Nothobranchius furzeri: one gene and its partner. The protein of the gene in region 2 purifies or fractionates together with the protein of the main gene of each other region. This does not show direct contact. Links are inferred from orthologs where the notes say so. Each region holds a gene or a part of one and is shown on either strand. Other genes may lie near its edges.

Evidence for each region.
Region 1: the proteins of baz1b (region 2) and myo1ca purify together in Homo sapiens (affinity purification with western blotting; 3 studies listed by BioGRID, with this or other methods). This does not show direct contact. The link is inferred for Nothobranchius furzeri from reciprocal best matches to the Homo sapiens genes BAZ1B and MYO1C.

Annotation. Positions count from the first base shown.
Region 1 is NC_091750.1:48,614,810-48,618,498, forward strand, and holds the end of myo1ca (unconventional myosin-Ic), read right to left. Parts: intron 1,373-3,689; coding exon 1,302-1,372; intron 1,231-1,301; coding exon 1,133-1,230; intron 1,046-1,132; coding exon 946-1,045; intron 815-945; coding exon 788-814; 3' UTR 514-787; downstream 1-513. Other genes in the region: uncharacterized protein, read left to right, coding at 48-233.
Region 2 is NC_091753.1:33,342,920-33,346,736, forward strand, and holds part of baz1b (tyrosine-protein kinase BAZ1B), read right to left. Parts: coding exon 3,800-3,817; intron 2,690-3,799; coding exon 2,497-2,689; intron 2,425-2,496; coding exon 2,303-2,424; intron 2,176-2,302; coding exon 1,978-2,175; intron 1,881-1,977; coding exon 1,695-1,880; intron 1,614-1,694; coding exon 299-1,613; intron 208-298; coding exon 52-207; intron 1-51. UniProt on the Homo sapiens protein: Atypical tyrosine-protein kinase that plays a central role in chromatin remodeling and acts as a transcription regulator. Involved in DNA damage response by phosphorylating 'Tyr-142' of histone H2AX (H2AXY142ph).

The DNA of each region.
Region 1 (3,689 bases), on a different chromosome or scaffold from region 2:
GACACTAAATCTGTTCTCATGATCTTTGTTTTGCTTTCTTCATCCAGATGAAATTAATGAGGAACTCCTGGATTAGGCCGGCACTTAGTATTGTACACATGCACCCAGAGGGAAGCGTGAAAACGTTGTGGGACAGCCGAGTGGAGGGCTACATCGTCCTGAGGGACCTGGATCTTTACCTCACAAAGCTGGCAAGAGACTTTCTTCTGTTGGCTTCAAAACCGCTCTCATGAGAGGAAAACAGCCAGAAAAAACGGGGAAAAGCTGGAATGTCATAAAACAAGAATGGGAAACACAGTTGGACTAACACAGTTTGGTACTCGGGACTCTGGTATTCTTTTCAGCGGTGATATCAAAACATTTTTTTGGGGTATTTTCCAGTTTCTGTCTCACCTCTAACTGGAAGTCAGAGACAACTCTCAGAGGACATCCCAACATCCTGTTTCCTTTTTTTTTACCACAACTCTAAACTTCTGGACTTTCCGACGAAATATTTACTATTTATTGACTTATTTATTGACATGTTATTTATTTAAAAGTTGTTTGCTTAAGTTATCCAGGAGTAAGGAGATACAGTGTTAGAGAGATTTTTACATTTGTGTGCGTGTCCAACAATAAAGCGATTTCAAAACAAAAGTTTGTTTCACCAGCTTGTAATGTTTAAATAGTTACTGGTAGTTAATAGTTCTTCTTGTGGAGTATATTTTTGCATTCTTTGGTCTGCTTCTGTCTGCTGTACACTGACAAAAACAGTGTGCCTCGGGTGGGAGGATCGATCTGGTTCTCTTCAGGTGGCGGCGATCCGAGGAGCAATCTGAGGAGTCCAGTCAGATTTAAGATAGTCAGCTGGATGAAATGTTTCTCTTTAAAAACAAACAAAACAAAAGCAGCCATGCCTCCTCCCTGCAGACTCCTCACATGACACGAGAACAGTTGCTGACTCACCACGACCAGATGTCCTCGTTTGCCTTTGGCCACCTTCAGCTCCGAACCCCTGATGAAATCAATTATTCCTTCTTTGTTCCGGGCCACAGCGACGCGAATGCTGCGTTCCACAACGGAGGAAACACATCAGGAGATCATGTTGGAAAACTTCACACCCACAAGATGAACCAGGCAGCCCTAGTCTCACCTGCCAGGACTGACGTTCACGTAGCTGGTCTTGCCGGCCAGCATGGATAGTTTAGTCACCAGCTCGATCACGTGGCTGCAGTGTATGACAGCGTCGCCCTGAGGAACACCAGCAGGATTTAAAGTAGCTGTCTGTAGAAAACAGACACGAGTGCCTTGTTCTGCTGTACCTTCTGTTTGTTATCCTCACACGGCACATGCAGAACAACCATCCCATCCATTAGGGAGCTCACTGAGATGCCTGGTTCAAAAGAACAATCTGGTTTGAACTCATTTATCTACACAACACGATCACAACGAAAATAACTTTTCAGCAAGAAAACTGAATCGACTACAGGTTCAAAACCTTCACAAACCGCTCAAAATTTTTCCTGAAGATAACCCGAGGCATAATCAGTTTGGTTGCCATGGATATTTCTGCTGAAAGTAAATTCAAGTACTTTGACTGCTGAAGGTCAAATAATATTAAGTTTGATCACTTGAACGTGACGGGGATGATAATCTGTGCTTGATAAAGCTGTAGCAGCCATCTTGGATTAGAAGAAGTGGAAAATCTGATGATTTCTCTGAGTTTTGTTCAAATTTTCCCAGATTCACAAGATATTATAGTAAAATTCAGACAAATCATCACATTCAATTCAATTCAATTCAATTTTATTTATATAGCGCCAAATCACGACAAGAGTCGTCTCAAGGCACTTCACATAATAAACATTCCAATTCAGGTCAGTTCATTAAGCCAGTGAGAAATAATGTTTCCTAAATAAAGAACCCAGCAAATTGCATCAAGTCACTGACTAGTGCCAGTGACTTTACAGCAATCCTCATACTAAGCAAGCATAAAGCGACAGTGGAGAGGAAAACTCCCTTTTAACAGGAAGAAACCTCCAGAGAATCCTGGCTCAGTATAAGCAGCCATCCACCACGACTCACTGGGGATCGAGAAGACAGAGCAGGCGAACACACACACACACACACACACACACACACACACACACACACACACACACGCACGCACGCACGCACGCACACACACACACTCACACACACACACACACACACACACACACACACACACACACACACACACACACACACACACAAGACAAAGTAATGTGTCTATAGTTATATCGTGATTTCTTAGTAAATATTCTATTTGGTGAGAGATAAACTTTATTGTATTTATCCTAGTGGATATATAATTAAATGGATAAACTACCAGTAGCACATCCAACGTCAAGGAAAGCAAAAAGTTTAAGTGGTTAGTAGCAGTGTGCCAGACGATGGCCCCCTCCATGAGGCCACCACAGCTCAGCAGAACATCATTGTAGCTTCTTCTGGGGAGAAAAACACTTAGAGAGAAAATAAAGTTAACAGCTGAAATTGCAGAAAATAATACAGTTAAAGAACAGATTGTAGAAGAAAGTAGTAGAGTGTGAAAAGTGGTCAGTGTATCCTCCAGCAGTCTAAGCCTATAGCAGCATAACTACAGAGATAACTCTGGATAATCTAGCCTTTTAGATGTAGGCATGTTGGAGGCAGGGCAAGGGAGAGCCGTCTTTACCGACTGTACACTCCACCTCCCTCTACTCCCCCACTTGTCCAGATTTAGGCTAACATCAGATTTTAACCATAGGCCCTATCAAATAAAAATGTTTTAAGCCTAGTCTTAAAAGTAGACAAGATGTCTGCATCACGGACAAGCTGGGAGCTGGTTCCACAGGAGAGGAGCCTGATAACTAAAAGATCTGCCTCCCATCCTAATTTTACATATTCTGGGAACCACCAGTAAACCTGCAGTCTGAGAGCGAAGTGCTCGGTTAGGAACGTATGGAACAATCAGATCACTGATGTATGATGGAGCTTGATTATTAAGAGCTTTATATGTGAGAAGAAGGATCTTAAAATCTATTCTGAATTTAACAGGTAGCCAATGAATGGAAGCTAAGACAGGAGATATATGATCTCTCTTTTTAATTCTCATCAGAACTCTAGCTGCAGCCTTTTAGACAAGCTAAAGACTTTTAACTACATTCTGAGGACTTCCTGAGAGTAATGAATTACAGTAATCCAGTCTTGATGTAATAAATGCATGAACTAGTTTTTCAGCATCACTCCTGGAAAGGATGCTTCTAATCTTAGCAATATTCCGAAGGTGGAAAAAGGAAATATTGCAAACCTGTTTAACCTGGGATTTGAATGACATGTCCTGGTCAAAGATAACACCAAGGTTCCTTACTTTGTTCTCGGAGATTAATGTAATGCCATTCAGGTCAGGTGATTGACTAAGCAATTTCCTTTTCTGGATTTCTGGTCCAAAGATGAGAACTTCAGTCTTTTCTTGATTTAAAAGCAAAAAGTTTAGAGTCATCCAATTTTTTATGTCCTCAAGACAAGCCTGTAATCTACCCAACTGATTAGGTTCATCTGGGTTAATGGATAAATATAACTGAGTATCGTCAGCATAACAGTGGAAGTTTATCCCATGCTTTCTAGTGATTTTACCAATTGGGAGCATATACATAGTAAAAAGAATTGGTCCAAGCACTGAACCCTGT
Region 2 (3,817 bases):
CCTCCAGCTAGAACAACACCGGTAGGGTTCAGAGCCTGCTTCAGGCTTCACCTTTATTTTGTCTGTCCAGCTCCTCCTTCTCCTTCTTAGCCTGCTGAGTCATCAGCCGCCGGCTCTTCACTGAGCTGATCATGTCCTCAGGCTCCGGCTCCACCTTCACTTCTTTCTTGATGTCCTTTTTAGCACCCCCGTCTTTTTTCTTTTCACCTTTGACACCAGGAAACGAGACATAACACGTTATGAGAACAAAGCTGAAACACCATCGTCTGACTACTGAGCTGAAACTGAGCCCACTTACTTTTGCTCTCCATCTCCTTGCGCATCTTCTTCTCAGCTTTCTTGCGGTCGTTGGCCTCCTTCAGCACAGCCAGGCGCTCCTTCCAGAGCTCGGCGGAGCGCTGCTGCATTGACTCGACGTGGTCTTCCACGGAGTAAGTCATGAGGATGCGGTGGCACAGAGCCACCAACAACTCCACCTTCTCCTCTGGGCTCAGCTCAAACACCTCCACAGTTTCTAGCTTCTCCAGGAACTCGCTGCTCACCACGTCATCAAAGTCACCCACGCCTCCAGACTTCTCCGATCCCTGGCCGCTCTCTTCGTGAGCGTCGCACGGCCTCAGGCACAACCGCGCCAGCTCTGACGCCGAATGCATGGTGAGAGGAATCTCCCACAGGGACATGTCCAGCTCACCGTAGCCTTCGGCCAGCTCGTCCTGCAGCAGCGTCTGGAGCAGCACCACCAGCACACGGTTCAGGTAGAGGAAACCGCATCGGTCTCCTGCCAGTGCTTCCATCAGAGACGACGCTGTGATTGGATACTGATCATTGGGCATCAAAAGGCCCGCGTAGCAGTGGAGGAACTCAACAACCATCGCTACGCTGCCAAACAGGGTGTTGGGAATCCCTTCAGGCATGTCCACCAGCTTGAATGTGGGCAGTGTCTTCCCTCCTTCGATCTCTTGATCTTCATATCTACGCGATTGTTCTCGGCGGATGAGCAGCTCCTTCTCTCGCCTCTCCTTGGCCTTTTCTCGCAGTTTCTCTTTGAGTTCTGCGCGCCTCTTTTTCATCTCCACCTCCTTTTCTGCATCACTCATGGCTGCCCAGCGCCTCTTCTGTTCCAGGAGCTCCCAACGCTTCTTTACCAGCTCTCTCAGTTCTTCTGGCAGGCGATCCCGGTCCTCAGTGGATAACGCCTTTGCAGCTTTTGATATGAGGGAAGAAAGTGGGTTCTTCTTATCCTCCTTGTCCTTGTTCTCCTTGTAGTAACGGAGGAGATGCAGAGCCATAGGGGGCAGCGGTTTTCCAAGTTTGGGAGTGCCCAGGCTCCCACTGCGAGCTCTCTTTTTAGGACTCCCTGCAGGTGTGCCCTTAGCCAGATGTAGCAGAGTCATCTGCTTCATCTTCGGCGTCTTACCACCAGTTTTATCATCTTTCTGGGAGGCTTTGAGGACGTTGAGCTTCTTATCGCCACTTTTCCCACTTTTCTTTCCCTCTTTTTTGTCGCCCAGCTTCTTGGCAGATTTTGGAGTGGAGGGGGCTGATCCCTTTCCTTCTTTCTTTGGACTTCCAGAGTTCTTCACCTTGAGTGGAGAGCCGTTCATTTTGATTTTCTGAAATAATACAGGTAGGAAAAAGATGAGTTCTGGCAAAAGCGTGTGGACAGGGCCTTAATCTGGAAACCAGTGACTAACCTGCATATGACCCCATATGGTGGGACTGAGAGGTACACTCAGAGAATCCTTCTTTTTCCTCCTCTTCTCTCCCTTCCCATTCCCAGAGTCTTCTCCGGGAGTGTCGCCCGTCTTAACCTTCTTGCTGGATTTGCCTTCGGGGGATGTCACGCTCTTACGCTTAGTGGAGGGATTTTCTGCCAGAAACTTCAAACAAAAAAGCAAAAGTATAAAACGAGGCTGAGCCAAAAGCACGAACCCCGGATATCCAGACAGCTGCCAGAACATGTCGGGATTAGATTACCTTGTGCGGATCAAGAAGAAAGCTGCTGAACTTGCTGGGCAGACTAAACTTTTTCACCAGCTCGTCTTCAACCACCCAGGGAGCGCTTTCTCCATTACCCACCCTCAGAGCATAGTGCCTGATGAAGTACCGCACGATTTCCTTGGTTGGAGGACGCTCTGTCCTGTAGAGGCTGTCTGCAGGGACACTGCTGATCACCTGTTGCAGAAAGAAAAACAAAGAAAATGTTCAAATTCAGCATAAAAAAACTTGGCAGGGCTGCTACACGCCGTACATAACATTAAACAGATCCGGTTACAACACTGAGTTCTGCTGACAAACAAACCTTGTCCTCATTGATGAGCTTCACGTCGTACTTGTGAGGCAGGAATTTGGGCATCACCCATTTCTTCTTCTCTTCTTTCATAGCGGTGGTAGATTTCCTTGGAGAGCGCCGTGCTCTGTCACCTAGGAGCAAGAATGATATTCTATAATCAACGCAGCAAGGTCGCCGATATGGGAGGGTGGGCTGGTTCTTACTTAAACTCTCCCTCCTGCTCTCCTCCTCTCTGGGTGGAGGCTCCTTCCTTTGGTTCTCGTGGCTGGAGTTCTCCTTGTCGCTAGATGGGGAGTCACAAGCTCCTTCCAGCTTCTTCTCACCTGCTTCAGTCTCAGGACTTTCTAAAGGATGAACCTTCATCACTTTCACACGCAAACTTTGGTCTTTCCCCACCTGGGGTCGATCATTTGGGAGAGAAATAAAAGCCTTTTATTAGGTTTTCATTTCATTTTAGTTTATAAAACAAAATATATGTACATACATGTTTATTAATTTATAAAATATGTTATTGTATTTTGCTTTATTTTAATTTTATTCATTTTACATAAAACATGTAATATGTAAAAAAAAAAAATAGCGATGGGTCCAGCAACACCGATGCGTCGGCGCTGGTATCTAGCTCATAAAGTGAGACCTCGCATTTAATAGTCACATGGCCGACATGATTTTGCTTGTTTAAATGGAGGAGCGTCTCCATCTGCCAGCAGGATGTTCCTGCCACAAGAAGAAAATATATTTTCTACAGCGCCTCTCAAGATAAAAACCACGAGGCGCTTCACAGAAATAAAAAATGTAAAATATAAAAAAGAATTTAGAAAACTATTACAAATATATTTAAAATGAGCAAAATATTGACAATTGTGATTAAAGAATGTAAAGAAAGCGTGAGTAGGAAAGAGGGAAATCAGTGGATCCTGAGGAAGGTGGAATAGGTGGAGAGAGCAGAGTACATCTTTTGAAGCTTGCTGTTAAATCTTAGACCCAGATTGAAAACGGTGGGTCGTCCGTGAGGGATCATTTTGTTCTTATAATTGGCAAATAAGTTATTTGTTTTTATTTCCTGTTTTACCCTGTTTCTCTCGGTTTCTGCTTGACCCATCAGAATTCTGTTTCTAAATTATTCTTTTTAAATCATTCATTCAATTTTCTGCAGGTTAACTGTCACATTTGCTAAACTGAACTTTCATAATAACTTAAATATCTCAAATAATTAAACAAGCATTTAAATTTACAATTTCTCAGTAAAATGTATATTTGACTGCTTTTCAAACTCAATGAAAAGATAACAGGATAATCACGATCAACTTTATAAAGATGAAGACACATTTGTTGCTGTGCAGATTTGTCCTGTTTAACTATACATTAATACTTTAATTGCGTTAGGCAGTTGAGAAACATGGGTGGTTTTGCTTTAAAGATCCTGCCAAGGAATAAAAACAACAGGATGTAGAACACATCCGCTACATAAAAGGAAGGTTTGGAAAAGCCAGCAGGGATACAAACCAGGAAGTCACACTCTTC